Stegostoma tigrinum: one gene and its partners. The protein of the gene in region 1 interacts with the protein of each later gene in a biochemical or structural test. Links are inferred from orthologs where the notes say so. Each region holds a gene or a part of one and is shown in the gene's direction. Other genes may lie near its edges.

The links. The genes of interacting proteins can lie anywhere in the genome.
Region 2: the proteins of btk (region 1) and SH3 domain-binding protein 5-like form a complex in vitro, tested with the Homo sapiens proteins (2 studies listed by BioGRID, with this or other methods). The link is inferred for Stegostoma tigrinum from reciprocal best matches to the Homo sapiens genes BTK and SH3BP5.
Region 3: the proteins of btk (region 1) and general transcription factor II-I-like form a complex in vitro, tested with the Homo sapiens proteins (4 studies listed by BioGRID and IntAct, with this or other methods). The link is inferred for Stegostoma tigrinum from reciprocal best matches to the Homo sapiens genes BTK and GTF2I.

Annotation. Positions count from the first base shown.
Region 1 is NC_081368.1:71,924,752-71,932,281, forward strand, and holds the start of btk (tyrosine-protein kinase BTK), read left to right. Parts: upstream 1-4,454; 5' UTR 4,455-4,543; intron 4,544-7,530. UniProt on the Homo sapiens protein: Non-receptor tyrosine kinase indispensable for B lymphocyte development, differentiation and signaling. Binding of antigen to the B-cell antigen receptor (BCR) triggers signaling that ultimately leads to B-cell activation.
Region 2 is NC_081355.1:21,867,759-21,875,205, forward strand, and holds the start of SH3 domain-binding protein 5-like, read left to right. Parts: upstream 1-4,413; 5' UTR 4,414-5,241; coding exon 5,242-5,313; intron 5,314-7,447. UniProt on the Homo sapiens protein: Functions as a guanine nucleotide exchange factor (GEF) with specificity for RAB11A and RAB25. Inhibits the auto- and transphosphorylation activity of BTK. Plays a negative regulatory role in BTK-related cytoplasmic signaling in B-cells.
Region 3 is NC_081380.1:9,698,950-9,706,875, reverse strand, and holds the start of general transcription factor II-I-like, read left to right. Parts: upstream 1-4,892; 5' UTR 4,893-5,171; intron 5,172-5,225; exon of another isoform or gene 5,226-5,247; intron 5,248-5,455; exon of another isoform or gene 5,456-5,588; intron 5,589-5,978; exon of another isoform or gene 5,979-6,093; intron 6,094-7,926. UniProt on the Homo sapiens protein: Interacts with the basal transcription machinery by coordinating the formation of a multiprotein complex at the C-FOS promoter, and linking specific signal responsive activator complexes.

The DNA of each region.
Region 1 (7,530 bases):
AAGTACAGCACAGTACAGGCCCTTCGGCCCACGAAGTTGTGCTGTGGAATAATCCTAATCCAAAAATAAAATAACCTAACCTACATTCCCCTCAATTCACTCGCTTAAATGTCACTAATGACTCCACTTCCACAACTACCACTGGCAAACTATTCCATGCGCTCACAACTCTCTGGGTGAAGAACCTCCCTCTGACGTCTCCTCTGTACCTTCCTCCTAACACCTTAAAACTATGACCCCTCGTAGCAGTCAATCCTGCCCTGGGGAAAAGTCTCTGGCTATCGACTCCATCCATGCCTCTCATTACCTTGTACACCTCGATCAGGTCACTTCTCTTCCTCCTCTCCAGAGAGAAAAGTCCAAGCTCAGTCAACCTTTCCTCATAAGACAAGCCCTCCAGTCCAGGCAGCATCCTGGTAAACCTCCTTTGCACCCTCTCCAAAGCTTCCACATCTTTCCTATAATAGGGCAACCAGAACTTGACACAATATTCCAAGTGTGGTCTCACCAGGGTTTTGTACAGCTGCAGCATAACCTCGCAGCTCTTAAACTCGATCCTCCTGTTAATGAAAGCCAAAACACCATATGCTTTCTTAATAACTTTACCCACCTGGGTGGCAACTTTGAGGGAGCTATGCTCTTGAACACCAAGATCCCGCTGTTCCTCCACACTGCTGAGAATCCTGCCTTTAATCCTATGTTCAGCCTTAGGTTCAACCTTCCAAAATGCGTCACTTCGCATTTGTCCGGGTTGAACTCCATCTGCCATTTCTCAGCCCAGCTCTGCATTCTGTCACTGTCTCGCTGAAGCCTGCAATAGCCCTCGATACTATCAACGGCACCTCCAACCTTTGTGTCATCAGCAAACATACTAACCCACCCCTCAACCTCCTCATCCAAGTCATTTATAAAAACTACAAAGAGCAGAGGCCCAAGAACAGAGCCCTGTGGGACACCACTCAACACTGACCTCCAGGCAGAATACTTACCATCTACAACCACTTTCCGCCTACTGTCAGCCAACCAATTCTGAATCCAGACAGCCAAATCACCCTGTATCCCATACCTCCTGACTTTATGAATGAGCCTGCTGTGGGGAACCTTATCAAATGCCTTGCTGAATTCCATGTACACCACATCCACTGCTCGACCCTCGTCAACCTGTCTCGTGACTTCCTCAAAGAACTCAATAAGATTTGTAAGGCATGACCTGCCCCTCACAAAGCCACGCTGACTCCCTTTAATCACACTATGCTTTTCCAAATAGTCATAAATCCTACCCCTCAGAATTCTTTCCAAAACCTTGCTGACCACAGACGTAAGACTGACTGGTCTGTAATTTCCAGGGATTTCCCTATTCCCTTTCTTGAAAAGAGAAACAACATTTGCCTCGCTCCAATCTTCCTGTACAACTCCTGTGGAGAGTGAGGAAGCAAAGAACTTCGCCAGCGGCTGAGCTACCTCCTTTCTTGCTTCCCTGAGCAACCTAGGATAAATCTGGTCTGGCCCTGGGGACTTATCAATCTTAATGTTTGCCAAAATTTCCAGCACATCAACTTCCTCAATCTTGATCTGTTCAAGCTGGTTTTCCTGCTCCTCAAAGCTATCATTCACAGCAAGGTCCCTTTCCTAAGTGAATTAGGTCCTGAGCCTAAACTGCTGACCTGGACGTTATGACGTTGGAACAACCAGCTGCTGCTATAATGCTAGCTTCTAATTCACAGCTAGTGAACTCCTGCCTTCTGAACCCACAATCACCACTTCGTAGTCATAGCATTATTCGGCATAGAAACAGGCCCTTCAGCCCGCCATGTCCAGGTCATCCAAAAAATACCAAACTACACTAATCTCAGATACATGCACTTGATCCATAGCCTTATGCATTCTAGCATTTTAAATGCTCATCTAGATGGTTTTTAAATACTGTGAGTGTATCTGTCTCCACCACCCTACCAGGCAACGTGTTCCATATTCACCAAAAAGTAAAACAAAAAACTGTGGATGCTGGAGATCTGAAACATAAACACATGTAGGTCCAGCAGCATCTGTGGGAAGAAAGCAGGTTTAACATTTCAAGTCCGGTGACCCATTTTCAGAATTGTTAGTAGTTCAGACAAAGTAATATTTATGCTGAAGATGAGGTTAGGTATGGAGGGAGGGGGAGATGGAAGGGCAGAGGTGAGCAAATAAGTGGATACAGAGCCCAGAGAGAGACAGAAAGAGATATGAAAGGGTAGCTAAACAAGAAGGTTATGGATAGCAGGCCTGGACAGAAGAAAGGCTGAATAAGTGAAATAAGACCTAAGAGTAGGAGAGAATAGGTGAACTGTACTGACAGTATACCATATAATATGACAATAGGCCGAGGAGTACATGGGAATGAGTGACAGTGCTAAAAGCAACCAATGTCACAATAGGTCCAATGTAAGGTGGTAAAATACATGGAAGGATAGAATCTGGCTCTAAAGTTATTGAACTCAATTTTGTGTCCTAGAGGCTGCAGGTCCCCAAGTGGAAAACGAGATGTTGCTCTTCAAGCTTGCACTGATGCTCGCTGGAACACTGCAGCAGGCCTGTGTCAGAAATGGTGGCATGGGAACACGGTGATGTGTTGACATGGCAGGCAACTGGAAGCTCAGGATCATTCTTAGGGACAGAGCGTAGGTGTCCTGCAAAGTGGTGACTCAGCCTATGTTTTATCCTCCCTATGAAGAGGAGAAACATTGTGAGCAGTGAATGCAGTAGACTAGATTGAGTGAAGTCCAGAAAAATTGCTGCTTCACTTGGAAGGTGTGTCTCGGACCTTGGATAGTGAGGAAGGAAGAAGTAAATGGGCATGTATTACACCTTCTGTGGTTGTATGGGAAGGTGCCATTGGGATGTGAGGAGATACTGGGAGTTGAGGAAGAGTTGACCGGAGTGTCAGGGAGGGTATGGTCCCTGTGGTAGGCTGACAACGGAATGTGTCTGGTCATGGTGTCCTCCTGGAGTTGGCAGAAACAGCAGTTAATGATCATTTGGGGCGCAAAGTCTGGTGGGATGGTAAGCAAAGACCATTGTTGTGGGAGAGAAGAGATGCAGTGATGGCAGAAAAGCAGGAGATTAGTTGAACACAGCTGGGTGTTGAATAAAGAGGCAAGAAAATCTTGTAACCACTTTGTAAAACATTGGGTAGGCCACAGATGAATATGTGCAGTTCTGGTCATCACATAATCGAAAGGATGTGATGGCACTGGAAGGGGAGTGGACAAGATTCAGAGCTTCGCTCTTTCTTCAGGTGTTACTGAAAGTGGTAGTATCAAACACAGAATTTTATGCTTTATTTAACCAAGCCTAAGATGCTGTTCAATCTTTATTCAGTTAGAAGGTTTTAATTGATTAATATGTGTAGGTAAATTCCTGAATTCCTTTCAAGTCATTGTCCTGAGAGAACTAAAGGTTTTATCACTGTAAATAAGAGGTGACATTTTAGGTTGGACAATGCATGCTAGGTTATAACTGCATGTTATAAATTCTGTGTCTGATACTACCTCTCTCACTAACACCTGAAGAAGGAGTGAAGCTCTGAAAGCATGTATTTTCAAACAAATCTGTTGGGCTATAACCTAGTGTCATGTGATTTCTGATCTTATCCAGTCACTCCACATAAGTGAGACCTTCCATCCCAGGCAATATCCTGGTGAATCTTGTCGGCAACCCTTCCAGTGCAATCACACCCTTTCATTTATGTGATGACCAGAACTGCACATATTCATCTGTGGCCAAACGAATGTTTTACAAAGTTGTTACAAGATTTTCCTGCCCCTATATTCAACAACCAGGCTAATGAAGGCAGCCATTCATATGCAGTATCTACCTGTGCTCACACCTTCATGCATCTATGGAATCGTGTACCAAAATTTCATGTTAACCTTTCCATTGTAAAGGTGTCTGCTCTTTGGAAAAGTTTCTGCCTTTTATGCCTGTTGTGATGACATCAAAGATAACTTACCTTCTGATTCAATGCTACCTCAGGTTACCTCTAACGCGAAAACGAGTGATTAGTTTGCAGGCAACAGCTTGTGAAGGCTTTTGTGGTGCAGTGGTAGTGTCTCTACCTCTGGGCCAGGATGCATGGGTTCAAGTCCGACGCACTCAAGAGCTGTGTCATAACACCACACCTCTCTGATGAAGGCTCTCGGCCCGAAACGTCAGCCTTTGTGCTCCTGAGATGCTGCTTGGCCTGCTGTGTTCATCCAGCCTCACACTTTGTTATCTTGGATTCTCCAGCATCTGCAGTTCCCATTATCTCTGGCCATAACACCTTTGAACAGGTTGTCGAGGTAAATATCTGGAGGCACTAGCTACAGAGAGACAGCAAACAGAAGAGGGCAGCACTGGATATGTAAATACAAATTAATTTAAATAAAAACTGCCCTCTGATGGAAATGAGGAACTTATCTGTTAGTTCCTGGCACAGGGTGGAGCTAACATTGTCTGAGAGAAATTAAAGAGGCAGGGAAGACAGCTAAACTGATCCCTGCCGTGCATGGATAGCTTGTAGGTAAGTGAAACAGGGAGTCTATGTTGGGCAGTATAATAATGTGTGGATTCAGTTATAATCTATTCATTTCAATGTATTTTCACAGTGAGTGTGGGGAGAGTAGCTTATTTTGTTGGTTGGTTCATTTTCCTGTTTAGTTTGGATTTGGGGAACTGCAGAACTGCAAATGTTTTTGATCTGTGTTTCTGCAAACCAGTCCTGTTTGATGAATAATTAAGGAGAGAGGCCTCTTTGATTCTACTGTCCCTTGGTGAAGCAATGTGCTTGGGAGTGGGACTGAGGTTACAATCTCACTTGTGCGTTCCAGCCCCAGGTTCCTTCAGTATCTGTGCCGTAAATTACAGGCTCTGACGGCTGTAAAGCTGCCCCTGTCTGCAGTGTGGCAAAGCTTTATCCATCTTCACTGAAGGTGTGATCCTTTCAAAACCATCAGTAAATGTGCAAATAAACCCAGCACTTCAGCTTTTGCCACAGACAAAAGAGTTATTTGAAGAGAGGATGAAGGAGGCTGGCATTAAAATTGCAATTCCTCATTTTAATTTTAGCTCCCAAACCACTAGTGTTTACCTTTGGGATAATAGGTTACACCTTGACTTAAATGTAAATCTCAAAAACTTGCAAAGATCACACCAACAGATGAACAAGTACAGATCAAGCATTGTGAGAGGAGCTATCATTTGGATATGGGATTAAAAGGATGGCCTGCCTGTCCTTTTAGTTGGATTGAAAGATCCCTTCATGAGGCCATGAGAAACGGACATGGGTGTACAGAGTCCTGCTCTTCCAGCCTGCTCCATCATTTGGAAAGATCATGGCCATCAATTCAAATTTCTACTGTTCTCCCTATTTCCCTTCAGTCTAAAGTTATCAATCTCAGTCTTGAATAGAGAATCACAGAAACACACACCCCATCAACAAACAGCCAAGAGATAGTAAACTGTAACTGACCAGACCCTTAGGTGGTAAAGAAGGTGTACGGCATTGGTTGGGGCATTGAGTATAAAAGTAGGCAAGTCATGTTGCAGCTGTATTAGAATTTAGTTTGGCTACATTTGGGGTATGTGCAGTCCTAATCACCACACGAAGGAAGGATGTGAAGGCGATGGAGAGGGTGCAAAAGAGCTTTGCTAAGATGTTAGATGTTAACTGGATTCAAATGTATTAGCCAGTTACAGGGATTGTTTTCATGAGAATGTCAGAGGCTGAGTATCTAAAATTATGAGAGACATGAATAATTGGCATCTCTTAACCAGTTTGGAAATGTTAAATACTAGGGGCCATAGATTTAAGTTGAGGGGGGGCAAGTTTAAAGATGTGTAAGAAAAGAATTTTGACAGTGAGAGTCGTGGGTGCCTGGAACACCAGGAGAGGTGGTAGAGGCAGATACATTCGCAAAGTTTGAGAAGCATTTAGATAGACACACAAACAGGTAGAGAATAGAAGGATATGGACTACGAGCAAGCATATGGCATTAGTTTCGAATATCATCATGGTGGGCCAAAGGGCCTGTTCCTGTGCTGTACTGCTCTATGTTTATGTTCGCCCAGGAACACATTTTCCATTAATTGATAGCACCTGAAAGCCCACACCCAACAATAGACAGCACTCTGGAATACACATTCCATCAAGAGGCAGCAATCGGGAACCTGCACAACATCAACAGACAGCACCTGGGAACACACGCTCCATCAATAGTCAGTAGCCAGGAACACACACCCCCATCAATAGACAGCCAGTGGGAGCACACACTCCGTCAATAGACAGCACCTGTAAACACACACCCCATCAATAGACAGCACCCAGGAGCACACATCCCATTAATAGACAGCACCTCAGAACACACACCCCATCAACAGACAGCACCCGGGAACACACTCCATCAACAGACAGCAGCCAGGAACACACACTCCATCAACAGACAGCACCCAGGAACACACACCCCATCGACAGACAGCACCTCAGAACACACACCCCATCAACAGACAGCACCCGGGAACAGACACCCCATAAATAGACAGCTCCCAGGAATACATTCTCCATCAATAGACAGCACCTGGGAATACATGCTTCATCAGTAGATATCATGCAAGAAGATATTAAAATTCTGAGAAGCAGAATTATTTTCAAGTGGAGAGGTAGGGGTTAATCAATGATAGGCAACATGGCTTTCTAAGGCAGATGTCATGCCTAACGAATTTGATTGAATTTTCTGAGTGAACTGGGTGTGTAGATAAGGGTAGTAAAATTGATGCTGATGGACTTCAGTAAGACTTTTAATGAAGTATTCTGCGGCAGGCTGGGTAAGAGTGTAACCATGTACGGGTTTCATGGAAATTTGTCAAATTGGATCCAAAATTGGTTTAGGGTCAGAGGGTGATGATAAAGGGTGTTTTTGTGACTGAATGCCTATATTCAGTGGCATACCACAAGGTCTGGTGGTGGGTTCTTTGCTGTTTGTTGTGTACACTAATGATCTAGACATGACTGTAAGAAATATGATCAATAAGTTCATGAATGACATGAAAGTTAGTGGTGTTTTCAATAAGTGAGGAGGAAAGCCTGAAATGGCTGGTCAAATGGGCTGAACAGTGGGAAATGAAATTTAATTCTGAAAGGTGTAAGGTGATGTACTTTGGGAGGACTAATTAAAAAGTAGCATGTTGGGATATATAGAGGACGAGATGGACCTTGGTGTGTATATCCATAGATCCTTGATGGCAGCTGGGCAGGTAGGTTGTTAAGTTTGTTAAGAAGGCATATCGGATACTTGCCTTTATTAATCAAGGCACTGAATACAAGTGCAGGGAGCTTATGATGGAGCTGTTATTATGTTAGTTATATAATATATATATAATGCCCCAGCTGGAGTACTATGTGCATTTCTGGTCTCCATGCTGTAGAGATTGCTCTAGAGGAGCTACAGAAGAGATTCACTGGGATATTGCCTAGGCTGGAGTGATTCAGTTATGATGAGAGGCTACCTGGAG
Region 2 (7,447 bases), on another chromosome or scaffold:
TGATGGCAAATTGGACTAGGTCAGATTGGGATGTCCAGTCGGATGGGTGAGCTGGACTAAAGAGTCTGTTTCCATGCTGTGTGACTTTATGACTGCAACGGTATGATTTGAGCTCATGCAGCCAGACCACTGACCTGGACCTTGGGAATTTTAGTCCAGTGACATCAATACTACATCATCATGCCCTCACCCCCCGCCATGATCTGAGCGTGCTTCCATTGAGCCACTGACTGACACTTAAAGAGTCGTATTAATTACTATATACAGCTGACCGAAGCACCCTAAAACCAGCTATATCCAACACAAGTTCAGTTTCACCTCTGATTCACTCATACAAATACTCGAAGTCTGAAAAAAACTTGTCCTCTTTGCTGCTGCTGAACACAGTATGCAGTATCCAGTAGAGATCAAATCTAACTTCAGTGACTGTACAAGCTGCACTGCAGCAACTTGCCAAAGTATTTTCAACAGCTCTTCTAAAATCTACAATTTCAACCACCTAGGAGAATGACATCGCCTCACCGTCACTTCAAGGTTCCCTTCTTAATCACATAACCAAACTCGGATATATATCACTGCTCCTTTATTGTCACAGTTCTGGGTGCTATGTTGAACCTTTAACGTTTGTTCAGCCTGAACTGAGATGTGATGTTAATTCTGACAACAAACATTAGGAGGATGTGAAGAATGTAGGGAGAATCATGGGGTTCCAGGACAAGAGACTTTTGTGTAATTTGAGGAGTTGGGATAAAAGCAAAATTCAGCAGATCTCTCTCCACAAATGCAGCCAGACCTACTGAGCTTCTTCAGCTCTTCCTATTAGGGAAGCAAGTGTTGGACATTTAATAATAGAGTTCAAAATCAAAGGGGATCCAGATGGAGTAGATCAATACAGACAAAGAAAATATTTCCATTAGTGGAAGGTTGAAGAATTACAGAATATAGATTTAAGAATATAGATTGAAAGGCCAACATGAGGAGTATGTTTCTTAACACAGTGAGTGCCAACAGTCTGGAATTTACTGACTGACAGGATGGCAGAAGCCAATTCAATTCTGATTTCAAAAGGTGGTCAGATAAGCATCTGAAGGGAAAGATTTACAGGATTTATCGGGAAAGAGTGTGGAAATAGGGCTAAATTGTTCTTGCAGAAAGCTGGCATCTGGCCTGAGAGGCTGAATGTCCTCAATCTGTACTGTAACCATTTTATGATGCTTTGATTGTACTACTTAACAATACATATGGAAGTACTGTCACCACACTTCAGGAATACTCATGGGTAACGTTTTCATGTGCGATTAGCAATAACTAATAAACTCTGGCCTTGCAAGACAGGCCTCCATTTTTGGAATTTTTATTAAATGCAACTTGGAAATTCTGCTTCATCTGCTGAACTTGTATTATTTTCTTTTCTGTTCACAGACTAGTTAATTTTCCATTCAGAGAGGATAGAATTTTTTTGCACAAAGGGCAAAATGGCATCACATATTTATGTTTATATGAATAAACAAATTGTTGCGTATTCTCAGAATCTATGTGGAATATGACAGTTCGATGAGTACATAGATGTTGGAGTTGCATCTCTCTGGGCAACTGGAAAACTTTGCTTCATGTTTCTTTGGTGTGCCTTGAGGTGAGGTTTTTGGCAGTCAGGAGATGAACTACTCATCACAGAATTTCTGTTTAAGTTGCCATTGTATTTATAGTTACTTCTATTCAACCTGTTTGGGTATCTTGTGACACATCCTGGAGCAGGTGGAACCTGAATGCAGGCCTTCTGGTCTAGAGACAGGGACACTACTGTTGCACCACTAGCGTTTTTGCCATGGCATTTACAGGTATTTTCTATTCAACCTGTTCAGAAATATTATTAGACACCTCCTGAACAAGTGGAACTTGAAACTTGGCCTCCTAACTCAGAAATAGTGACACAACAACTGTGCCACAAAAGCCCTGTCATATAATGGCATTATATGGTGGGTTTAAGTCAATTTCTGCTCAATAGGGACCACAAGATGGTTATAAAAGTAGAGCTGTTTTTTGATACTTTTGGAATGTTTGCTTTGATTTGCAATTCCATGGACAGTAAAGCAGTCCATCTCAACACCCAGCAACACATGAACAACAGCCAGGATTTTATTGATAAATGGGTGCTATTGTTTTGCTTTAATCGGAGAGTGTTCCTCTCTCTTCAAAGTTACTGATATTCTTACCCATTGTAAACCTTATGTTGAATTGTTTCATCTGCTGCTGTTCTACCTCTATAATGCTCAATCACATGACTGCCCTGACTTCATCATCACCCCATCATTCGCCACTAGATTCATTCATTTTGGTTTCTGAACAACTCACAGCACTAAGATTCGAGGACTTCTCTTTATTGTGGACTAGCGAGTTGCCTCAACACTTCCCATGGATTAAATAAATGATTGACTCCCCAATCTAGACTCCTGTTGAAGTCAGGTTGCATAGCTAAATTGACCTGGTAACTTTCTGTTACTGAATCTCTGTTTTTGTTTGAAATTCAGAAAGCTATATTGTTCCTTGAATTAAATTATTAATAAAATCCACCTATTTCTCTCACTTAGGCAATTTTCCAAGAGGATGACAGACTAATACAAATTAACTGAAGAACTAAGATGAGTCAGTTCATTTCTCAGACTCTTTATTCTTTCCCTCTCCGTCTTTAAAACAATCCATAGAACCTAGTTATAAATGAAAAGAACTGCGGATGCTGTAAGTCAGAAACAAAGACAGAAATTGTTGTAAGCTCATTAGGTCTGGCAGCACTTGTGGGGAGAAATCAGAGTGAACGTTGTGGGTTGAGTGAACATTGTGGGTTCAGTGACCCTTCCTCTGAGATTTACCAGGACATTGCTGGGTATGGAAGGTTTGAGTTATAAAGAAAGGCTAGATAGGCTAGGACCTTCTTCTCTGGAGTGTAGGAGGTTAAGTGGCAACTTGGTAAAAGTTTATAAAATAATGAGAGGAATAGATAGAATTAATGGTAGCTGTCTTTTACCTCAGATGGGGATTTCAAGACTAGAGTATGTTATTTTAAGGTGAGAAGAGAGAGATTTAAAAAAAGACGAGGAAATTTTTTTACACAGGGTGGTTTGCATGTGGAATAAACTTCCTGAGGAAGTGGTGAATGTGGGTACAATTACAATGTTTAAAAGACATTTGGATAAGTACATGTATAGGGAAGATTTGGAGAGATATTTGCCAGGATCATGTAGGTGGGACACATTTAGACTTGGATTATGTTAGGCATGGATTGGTTGGACTGAAGGGTCTATTTCCATGCTGCTGGACTCTACGACTCTTGAGTTCTTTGAGCAAACCGTTCATCACCAGATTTCATAGAATCCCTACAGTGTGGAAACATACTTCCTTATGTGACACAGTGTAACATGTTGTCCTATAACACTACTTTGAAGCTTTAAGGTATTCTGGTTGTTAAATGGACTATAAAAATGTTTGTGGGTTGTTGAATTAAGTGAGAAAAAGATTTAACCAAGGTTTTACATTGCTTTTTAATTGCTCATTTTCAGACTTTCACTATCTTGTATTGATTAATAGTAATATTTCCCAAACAAATAATATCTCAGCTTCCTTCATTTTTTGAATACTGATAAGCATAACAGATGATTTTTACAAAGGTTTAAAACAAACGAACAAAAAAAAACAGACGTTTCCTCTAGGAATTTAGCTCCCAGCATACAATAATCTTATTTCAGTACAAACCATATTACTATGGAAGAACAGAAAATGAATTGAACGTTATTACCACAGCAGCAGACTTTGAGCGGGTTTTGCTGTCTGAGCTCCCTTTCTTGGATATTCTGTTGTGTGCATTCGCACTGCATTTTTGTCTGTCATTGTAACAATTTCAAAATAATCCTCTATTTTCATTAGTGAAGTTAATTTGAGGGAGGAACTGATACTATGAATGCTAATCATACCTTTCCACATCAACACGGTGTTTCATTCCAAACTAGAATTATACGAATTGTTGCCTTCAATATGGAACTCAATGTAACATCAAAATGCTTGGTTTGTAGCGGATCCGAGAGGGTGCGGATCCAAAAGACAGGTTTGCATTCATACGGCAACTTTCATGATCTCAAATAGTTTACACCTAATGAAATATTTTTGATATGGGATGAGATAATAAGCAGGTTGCATGTTTTTGTAATGTGTGAGAGGAACAAACGTTAGCCAGGACAAAAGGGAGAACACGCCTTATCTCTCTAAACTCATGCCACACAATCTTCACACGAGAGGGCAGAACAGGGCCTTTTAACGCGTCGTGCAAAATATGCCACACTCCATCAATAGTGCCAGCGCGGGTTGTGTCCTCCAGCCTGAACTGGGCGCTACAACTTAGTGACCCAGTATTACCCAGACTGGGCAGTGAGTGAGCTCTGCAAGATGCTGTGTGTCAGTGAGATATTCTGTAAATTATCTCCGAATCAGCACAGGGGTAGCCATCATCCGTGATGCAATCCCAGCCCGTTATTTCCAGAGCCAATAAAGGACATGAAAATAAAAGCAATAATTGAAAGAAATTAATTCTTTAGAGGGAGAAAGAGAAATTGCTGGAAATAACCGCTGGTCTTAGATTGGTAACTGCATCCTCCCCTGCGGGTAAGTGAAGGTTGGGGGGGTGCGGAGGTAAATTTTCAGCCTTTATTACGCCTGTATCTCATTAGAACAAAGCAATCGCCAACAAGCCCAGAGTAAGAGGAAGGGGCGGAGTAGCAGCGCACTGAGGAATCCTGGAGAATGTAGCCTCTCTGACTCCGTTTGAACGAGCTGTGCTAACGTCGCTATTGTATGACAACGCCAACCTCCTTTCATCCTGTCTGTGGATATATTTAGAATGATTTTCCTCCTACCAGGGCTCTGAACGACAAGAGTCTGCATCCGAGAGGGCGGCGTATATTTCCTCCGGACACTTCAAAAATGTTGAATTATTGCAGCTTTTTACGCGTCCAAGTTTTGCTGCCTCGTTCGTTGGAGCCTGTTTTAGTGGAAGAATGAATTCCAGATGTTTCTGCAGGATACAGCAGTGTTGACTCCGACAACGTCTTAATCGATAGTGAAGCCAATTCTGTTTCACTTCCCTGAGTGTTTCTCTCTCTCCTTTTCGAATTTCGGTCCTAGCTTGCATTTTTTTACATTCTCCCAAAATAAAAGAGACTGAATGCTGTAAGATATAAATAATTTAGTCGCAAAATGGACGGGTTGTCGAAGAAGAATGAGAAGTTAGAAGTGCCAGAGGAGGAAGAAGTCGACCCAAGGATTCAGGTAAACATTTTTGCCAAAACGTTCCTTTGGAATTGGTCGGTTTTGTGGCTTGTACTAACGTTGCAGTCCGGTGGATGGGTTATTTTGTGAAGCTTCACCGCATAACTGCAAAAAATATGTAAATGGCAACTTGCTGAGAGATGGGAACCAGAGAATATGGTTCCCACAACAAGTTACAGTTCGCATTTTTTTGCAGTTATGCAGTAAAGCTTCATGATTATGTGTGAATTGTAGGAGACCTTCTGAGTTTATAGTCTACAGTCAGGAATCCGTTTGCAGTCTCCAGTATAATGCGTACAATACTAAAACCCCATTATTGTATATGCAGTACTAACAGCATGGTATATGTATATTGTACTAATACCTTGGTAAAATGTATGCTGTTTCAGTGCCCTCTATAATGTATACTGTACTGATAACTCCTTTTATAATGATCTGGGATCAGAAGTAAAACTTTAACCATTTTCATGGAGTTGAGCTTTTTTTGTGTTCTCAGGGAGATAAGCTTTAATTTTGGATATGTTATTGGTTAAAATAATATTTCACTTCTATCTTATTCACGTAATCTGATTTTTAAAAAATCTAATGCTTGTACTTGGCTGTGACATTGCTAACTGCAGTTTTAAAACAGCCTGGTCCTCTTTGTTGCATTCTGTAGGTCTTCTCCCTCTTTGTGTATCTGTCTGTCTAAATTGTTTGAGGTGTGTGAGAATAGCCTGTTTTCCTCATCAGCCATTTATATTTGAATTTCTTTTTAAATGGACATTTTCCATTAGCTCTTCCCTTATCAAATTTGACTTGATTGTTCTACCAAACCATGCTGCAGCAAAGAAATTGGGTGTTGCAACGCCATGATATAAAATTTTATGTGCTGGGCTGTTTGTGGAGGACAGTAACTCTCTGGTTAAGCTTCCCACTAATTGCATGGGCAAGGCTGTCGCTAATTGCTTCCTGAACTCAAATTGCCCAATTGTATTGTTCAAAAATCTTTTTTCTTTGTAAACGACATGCTTTTTTACTTTTAAGAGAGGCCTACTGTCTTTTATTGACTGTAGTCTGATTTTGGTGTTTTGAAGTTTTCCTGGTGCCTTTACTCAGTGTTCTCCACTTGGAGCTTGATATTGTCCTAATTTCATAAATCTGAAATTGAGAAGTTGATATTAGTGAGTGCAACTGTCAAGCTATCGGATTGCCTTAAAAACCCCATGTAATTCGTCTGTTTCCTTTAGTGAAGGAGACTCACTGTTCTTTACCTTGTTTTCCCTATGATCCAATGCCACACCAGCATGCATTCCTTTTAGTGTTTTTACTAAGGTAGCCTAACAAGCTCAATTACATCACCTTAAATGCCAGCTTTGCTTGTCCATGTCCTGCAAATGAATTGAAAATGGTCTAACTTCTCAGACTCTGTAATATACGGTGAATTTTTCCCCCATCTATTAACAACCCAAACTATTGTGAGCCACCCAACGCATTCCAACCTAAGCCAAACTGAACTCAAGCACTAATTAAGATAATTAAAATGTGAGGCTGGATGAACACAGCAGGCCCAGCAGCATCTCAGGAGCACAAAAGCTGACGTTTCGGGCCTAGACCAAGCACTAATTCATCATTTGTCTCTGAGGATTTGCTTTGTCTTATGGCATTATTCTATACTGTCTTGAGTAATGTTTTCTGCAGCTGCACACCATGAAAATCACTTCGTATTTAAACCAGTTTTCCCCATTGCTGTTCCTTCAAAAGTACAGTGCTTTATGTTTTCAGCATAATTAATTTGCCTCTCTCCTCTCCGCCCTCACTGTCCGTCATGTTTTGTAGTCTGTAACCATAAATTGTTGGACCTTCTTGCTTCAGTTTAAATTACCAGTTACTATAGGAGCACATTAATCAATGACATTATCACCAGGAATTCCTGTTGACATCTTCATATTCGATGAAAGACGGGTTCTGTGTAAATGCAGGTCCAATGGGAACCTTAGGACAAAGGTTTTGAGGTATATTAATTGTTTTATTTGTAGGAAATTTGCTTATAACGAGGTGCAGATGTCAATTACATAACCATTAGTTAATCAGTTTGTGATGTTACTTGAGGAATATTTATCGGCCAGGATGCCAGAGAGAGTGTGAAACAAAA
Region 3 (7,926 bases), on another chromosome or scaffold:
AAATTTAGCTGCAACATATTTGATCTCTTTATTCATGTCATTAACATAGATTGCAAATAGTAAAGCCTCCGGCGCTGATCCCTGAAGCACACCATTAATTTGTGATTTTGAAAACGTCCTGCACACCAGCCTTTTATGTGCATCTTATCAAATGCTTCTTTGAAATCCAAATACAATATAGCAATGACAGATCGACTTTGTAAGAGAGTCATGTCTTAACTATCTCCTTTAAATCAAGGCAAAATATAACAGTAGTGAAGGACTTTTGACCTCAAAGTGAAGACACAAGCCAATGTGATCTTGTCACCACAGAGATAAGAGGCCCAGGTCAAAGCTCCTTAAAAACAAGGTGCAGGTTTTAAAACCTGAATGTAAAGGAGAAAGCAACAATTCTTGTTGCTTTAGGACTTGCAGACTGTCAGAAACAGTTAGACTGGGGTATTTGGGGAAGAAGACCTAAAGCTAGTACTGCTGTATCAGACAAAGGTAAAAAAAAACTATTCGGGCTTATCACCAAGCAAAGTCCTGGTGAAGATGGAACCTAGTAAGGGTTGTGGAGAATTAAAAGTACGAACACTTGCTGTGCCATTTGTTTGCTTTGATCACTGGGGAGTTCTTTTTCATTAAAGTTACCAGCCTCTATGGAGTTCCTAACACTGATTACCACTTTCCACCCTGCTCATTACATCCTTACTGGATTCTAAAAAAAATTGTTAAACACTATTTCCCATTCATTAAATCATGATGGTTTGGTTTGACTGAATTATGATTTTCTAAATGTCTTGTTACTACTTCCTTAATAATGGATTCCAGCATTTTATCAATGACAGGTGAAAGGCTAATTGGTTTATGGTTTTCTGCTTTCTGTTTCCCAATTTCCTTGTGATTTTATAGTGTGTTTGGATATTTAGTGAAAGTAGTGAATTTCGGAAGATTACATGAAATGAACCTATTTACAGTAAATGCAGCCACAATCTCTGCAACTATTTAAGAACAAAATGCCTATTATCAATATGTTTTACAAAAAAAAGAGATATTCGTTTCTTACTGTTGGCATATATGTCCAAATTAAATAATATTCATCAACTTGCGTGAATTTCAAAATTATTTATTCTCATGTGCATATACCAAAATAAACATGACAATTTACATACTCATGCTCGCAAATGCAAACGTGAGATATAGATGAAAGTAAATTACTTGTAGAGTTTGTAATTATCTTGATCTCTGAATTATGATTTCTGCTTTTCCATGTGGAAGGATGGTGTTTAATACCTAAAATTGTAAGTGAGGGCATTGTAGAGTGAAGGATTCTCAGCAGGCTGTAAGGTTTTCCGTGGTTGAATTTTTAGGAGGTTGGTTCTCAGAGCACTTGAAGTTGGAATAGGTTGGAGGAGCACTCTCTGTTAAATCTCCCACTCTCAAGGTATTGCTGTTAATTACCTTGGTTGCTTGATGACTTACAGCTACTTAGTGGCCTTCTGAACACTGAATAGTGACTTTGCTGGCTTTGTCATGGGACTGCCTGCAACCAGTATTTAGGCAACAGTTAAAAGCAGACCAAATAAAAAGTGGTGATATTTATATAGATTCCAACATCCTGTGTTGTGGTTTAACATTTTTGAGACTCACCTTGTCTAGTTTGAATGAGAAAAATTCTTATAATACATAGGATGTAGATAGTGATTCACTTCTATCTGCCTTAAATTTGGTTTCAATCTTCGCCTTTATCCGGCATAAATCAGGGAGACAGGCAGTCTGAGAATTCTATTGCTATTTAGAGTTGGCCCATTATTAAATAAATGATGTGTAAGTTCCCTGGATGACTGTAAATGTCCATATTTAATTAGGCATTTGCTTTAGAGTTGATATGGTCTGTTGTTCAAATATCAATTGTCAGATAATTTGCAAAAGCTTATTTGTGTCCAGTTTTTACAAGTATTTACTGAAATTTTGTAATATGGCACGCTTATACTTGGCACGACACAAGAATAAGGCATAAAGCCATCAGGTCCAGGAGACTTTTGAGCCTTTAGTTTAATTAACATCTTTTCTGTATGGCGAGTGATTAAATCCTGCCTCCCTTTTTCCCACTAATTTTCCACTATTATTGCATTGCTGTTAGTACCTTCCCCCGAAAGACAAATAAAAATTTATCCAAAGTTTCTGCTATTTTCTTGCTGTCCATTAATAATATCACCTCACCCTCCAAGCGAACAATACTTCTTCTGGCTCATTCTCTCTCCATTTGTATTTTTTGTGAAAACTTACGCCGTTTTTGAATTTCTTTTCATAATTTATTAATTTTTTTGTTGAAAAAAATGACCAATCTTCTGAAAGTGTTGTGAGGAAGGATCACCAAACCCGAAACGTTAACTCTGATTTTCTCTTCACAGATTCTGCCAGGCCTGCTGAGCTTTTCCAGTAAGTTCTGTTTTTGTTGTTGACCAATCTTCTGGTTTACTATCAATCTTTGCAACATTACATGCCTTTCTTTCTGTTTTAAACCATTCTTAATTGTCCACGGATGAGTTGTCTTTTCAGCAGTCTTCCTTTCTAACTTAAATAAATATCTTTGTTGAGAATTAAATGTTTGCACTGCTTAATTATAATTGCAACTTTTAACGTATTGCATTAGTCCACCACAGTTAAATCAAACTTCATATCTTTGTAATTGCCTTTGCTTAGGGTTATGACAAATTCATCTTTCACTGTCTAAAACAGAATGTGACATTCTGTAACGTTACATTCACTCTTCCCTCGAGGATAATTTATTAAGAGAACATTGATTAATCTAGCGTCATTACACATTACTTGATCAAAATAGCATTTGCAACTCCCAAAAGGAAGTCATCCTCGAAGCTACCCTTGCCAATTTAATTTGTTGAAAATATGTGAAGATTATTTTCTCAGAATTACTGCAGTACCTTGAGCACAAGACCCTGCTACCTTCCCATTTACACTCTGTCCGCAGCTTTGCTGTTAGGGGGACCTGTAGGCCACTCCTGGCAATGACCTCTCTGCCTTGCTATTTCTGATCTCCATCCACACTGATTCTCCATCTTGATCTTTCAAGCCAAAATCATTTCTCACTACTATTCTGATTTCATCCTTTATAAACAGACCTATCCCATTTTCTTTTTTTTCATTTTGCCTATCCTTGCAAAATTTGCAAGTACACCTGAATATTCAGTTTCCAATCTTAGTCATCATGCAACTGTATTTTTGTAACGACTGTCAGATTATACCCTTTCATTTCTACATGTACCATCAATTCAGCTATATTATTGAAAATGGCACATGTATTCAGATGAATAATCATAAGTTTTGTCTTCTTGTAATGTTTCCTTACTCTGACTCTACATGCTGGTCCACTTTTAATTTTGTAAACTTTGGGCTTTCCTGTCACACATTACCCTATCACACAATCACATGATTGCCTTGTTTTCTCTTTGTAATTTTCTAAATTTCTCTTTATTTAAACCCTCCCACCCCCACTGTCAACCATTCAGCTTAATATTCATGCTGCCTTTGTTCCCTGGATTCTGTGGACATACATTTTCTTGCCAAATCTATTATATGACGTTTTATAAAATACTTTCTGAAGTCCATACACATCTGTAAAAACTTGACCCTATCAACCCTCTCTGTGGCTCATTAAATTTAACTATGTCAATTAAACACAATTTCCATTGGCATCCTGACATATATATTATCTGATTGTTATAATGGATCAAGGTTATGTGCAACCAGCCTTTTTACTTTCTATTCTTAATTAATTTTAGCCCAGTCTGTGTTCCAACTACTTCTTTTTCAGAGGGTCGGTGTCAACGTGATGAACCAAATGGCCTGTATCCACACTCTATGGATTCTATTTTGTTTCCTTTTCTGCACTCATTATCGAGTCCCTTTTTGGTCCCTAATCAGTTTTGCTCTTCTGATTACTACCTCTTCACTATACGTTTGTTTTCTTTCAGATTCCCTTTTGTGTTAGTGGTCAGTCTCAACTTGTACTCTTTTTGCCTCTCATTTCCCTCCTGCTTTACCCTCTGGACCTTGTATGTTCAGCTTTGATCACATTTCATTATCAAGCCTATATCTGTCGTATGCATACCTTTTCATTTTGTTCTCTTTCAACATCTCAGGTTTGCATTTTTCCCTTATGAGAACTTTCTCTTTCAAGATAGTCCATTCTGTCATTATAATTTTTCCTGCCAATTTTCCAAATTTAACGGGGGCAAATGTTCTCAGTTTACAACAATTGCCCTTCTCTACGCCTAAGATTGCTGAGTCAGTTTGATTCGAAGGAAGGTTTATAATAGTAAAATAAAGCAGCATAGTTCAGCCTCTATTTTATTAATGACTCCAACTTAAGAAAAAAAACATAAATTCGTAAAATTAAATGAAAACAGAAAGTGGAACCGAAGAACCTTCTAGAAATGCTTAGCATGTTTGACAGCTTATGTGGAAACAGTAACAGCGTTAATGTTTCAGATCACCCATATTTTCTGATTTTATTTCAGATTTCCATCATCTGCCGTATTTTACTTTTGCATATTAATTAGTCGTGGTGAAACTTAAATGATCTGGTCGATTTAGTAACGATATTTTTTTGAGAGTAGGGTTGCACACTGCACCTTGCAATAGATAGGCTACTATCTTCGTGTCTAAATCTATGCAGCACACCATGCTGCACAAAATAAATAGCCCTTTTCCTATTTTTTCCAATCAAGCACTGGGCTGTAAACTGCCTGAGATGTTTCAGCGCATTGCACCCTGGCAATTGTAGTCCACGCCCCTCCAACCGGTATTGAGGTCCCGGAGCCGATCCATGCGCCCGAGACTACAAAGCCTATGGTGCACCCCGGGAGGAGCGCATGCGTTCTAGCAACGCATTGGCTGAAGGGAACAATAGGGACAAGGCGCCGTCAGGCTTTGTCGGCTGAGCTGTAGTTCGGGTGGTGTACAGGATTTTAATTTTGTTCGATTTCTTTCAAACCAAAAAGAACCCACAAAATTATTACCCAGAGTTGAAGTAATTGGCAGCCGTTCAATGATCCTGTGAGCGATCATTCGAACCGCGTTCTTTTGCTATTTCTTTCCTTTTCTAGAATATTCCATCGGCGGCTGCTGGGAAATTTTCGGATTGTGTGCGCGTCGCCACTTTTCCTGTGAGTCGGAGTTTTCCTGCTCTCTCCTTCATAAAATTCAGCTTGGGGAAAGGGGGAGGGGAAGAAGTGAGATCAGGTAGCGGCTTCTTTCTTTCCTCTCTCCGTTACATGTGCGTTCGGGAAAGGGGTTTATTTTGAGTGTCTACAGTGGCCGCATTGACTGCAGCGTGGTGCTGTACTGCCGGCGCCATCGCCAACCGCTCGCCCGGTCTGGAGAACCGGCGCCTCTCCGTAGTGTGACTCCGCGGCTGTTGTACCGCAGCGAGCGGAGGCATACACAAGTGCTTCCCCCTCCCCAATTCCTAATATACTAGATCACCGCCATCATCTGTGATCGAGCGCCCGATCGCCCTCTGGTTAAAATCGCGACTTGGACGAAGTCGAATGGATTAGGGATTCAGAGTTTTCTTCTCTAAAGTGGGTTTAATTTTTGATTCGGCGGCAGAATACATAGACCAGTTCATCTGCTGAATGGTTGACTTTTTTAACATCGTGTCTTTTATTTGAACAATCCTGTACGTGCTTTTATTTTTGTCTTAGAACAGCAATTTTAGAGTGGTGAGGGGTGATTGTGCTGTTTTGATGGCTTTGGCGGGAGTCTTGGTGAAACCGGCTCTGCAAGGCGCCCATGAAGTACTGCTGCTTTTCGTGTAAAGCCTAACTTCCCCAGTGACGGCACGATTGAAGGGCAGCGGGTTTGTCCAATGGATGTGCCGAGATTTGAGGCTGAGTTGTAGAGCAGCCAATCGTCAAAGGGGAGGCGGGCATCCGTGGCAAGTTAGGTTGAGGGAAAAATCCTGCAAAAGGGAGAAGAAAGTCGATGGTTAAAATGGAAGACTGAGTCGTGGTGATGTGAGCATGAACGTGTTGCTACTACGTAGGAACTTGCGGTGTTAACTTATCATTGAGCATCAATTGCATGGTAGTAAATGTTATGTTGGAAATCTTAAATTGGCAAAAATTATGTAGCTGTTACCTTGAATGGAACAGTATTTGACTATTACAGTAAATCTGGATTGTATGAGTTATTTACAGAATTTTGATTTGAGGTAAACAGGGTTTTGGTATAGTGCTGTAAATGAATTTTTTAAAATAAAGGGTCAGCAAGTCATTTGAAACAGTGAACTAAAGAAAACATACAATCGTGAGCTTTCACCTAAAAGCTAAGTGACTCAGCATGGTACCTTGTGAAATAATTGCTGCTTATTGTTGACTGACTAGTGTTTTTATGATCTAAGGAAAAGACAGGTGGCTGAGGCCACAAACGTGTTGAGTTCAGAAAAAAAGCACTGTGGAAAGGCAATTTAGCTTTTGATGGTCTTCAGACCAATTGAACTGGAAATAGATCTTAATCTTTTAGCAGCCTCAAAGTGGTTAAAGTCAGAAAAGCTAATGAGTTAGCATGTTTGTCTTGGGAGAAATGGAATCGCATCTGGTGATTCTGCAGTAAATCTCCAAAAGGGAATGTTTGTAGCCTCGTCAATTGAGTTCTTAAATTTTGAAGTAGAGATTGGACTGATTATTTTGCTTAGCTTTAGTGTAAAGGATATTGTGGGAAAAGATTGATTGTTCTATTTTGGTGTTATGTTTTTGTTAAATATACATTGGCAACTTAGTGTGAATGTGCTCAGTGACTTGATACCATGGTATGAACATTGGAAATAAATTAAGCTTATGGTCTGTTAAAGAGATAACAAAGTGTGGAGCTGGATGAACACAGCCGGCTAAGCAGCATCTTAGATCTGTTCAGCTGGGTTTTGCTCTATGTTGCCCTGGTGTTATCCAGTGGGATGATAACACTATTATAACTGTCTAATCAGGGCAGTAATACTGGATTAATACTTTTCAAAGCTTGTCATTGAACATTTCGTGGACTGGCTAAATGATAGCTTTTAATTAGTTTATCATCTTTGTTATTTTGTTGCATAATAATGTATTTGACCAAAATTAGAAGCTGTGTTTTATTTTGTGACAACTGACACCAGATAAGTTGTTTCAACATTGAATTTTGTAAAGTGCGATGTTAAGACAATTTTGTAGTTAACATTGCACTTTGAAAATAAGCCTGTGAAACTAGTCTTGGATGTCTTGTTTCTTAGGATTTTAATATTTCAGCCTCTTCTGGCTACATCTGCACCAGTGTGTGCCCAAAACACTTAAATCAGAGTGTAAGTTAGTGGAATTGCAACTTTTGGTCTGCCAGTGGTTTGAAGCTCCCAGCAGTGCTGTGATGCTTTTTTTGAGATTATTGATGAACTAATTTTCAGTTGAAGAATGTAGTGCTGTTGTTTAATTTCTTTCCCTGAGAAATGTTCTCTTATTAAGGGTCTTAAGTATCAAGAAAAATGATATGATGACTCAACAATATCCGAAAAGGGAAAGTCTCCCTTAATTTAACCTCAGTTTTTTAAAGTGGTCAGAATAGGCATGGGTAATGTTGTAGGTGTAACGTATCAAGCTTTCTAAACACTTCCCATAAGGTACATAGTAAATTTATTTAAATAATAAAGTAATGAATAGCATGTGAATATAGAATCAGTAACAGAATGGATATTCAAACAGACAGAAAAACGGAAAATGTTAGAATTGTGGGTGAAGAGATACTGTTCAGAATGGGAAATGGGAAAAGTGATTCCATTGTTCACTATTTACTTATAAAAATTTTTTAGATTTTAAATAGAAACTTTTAAGAACATAGACAGCTTCAGATTCAAAGGAATGCTCAACGCTGAGGAGAATTGCAACAAATTAAATG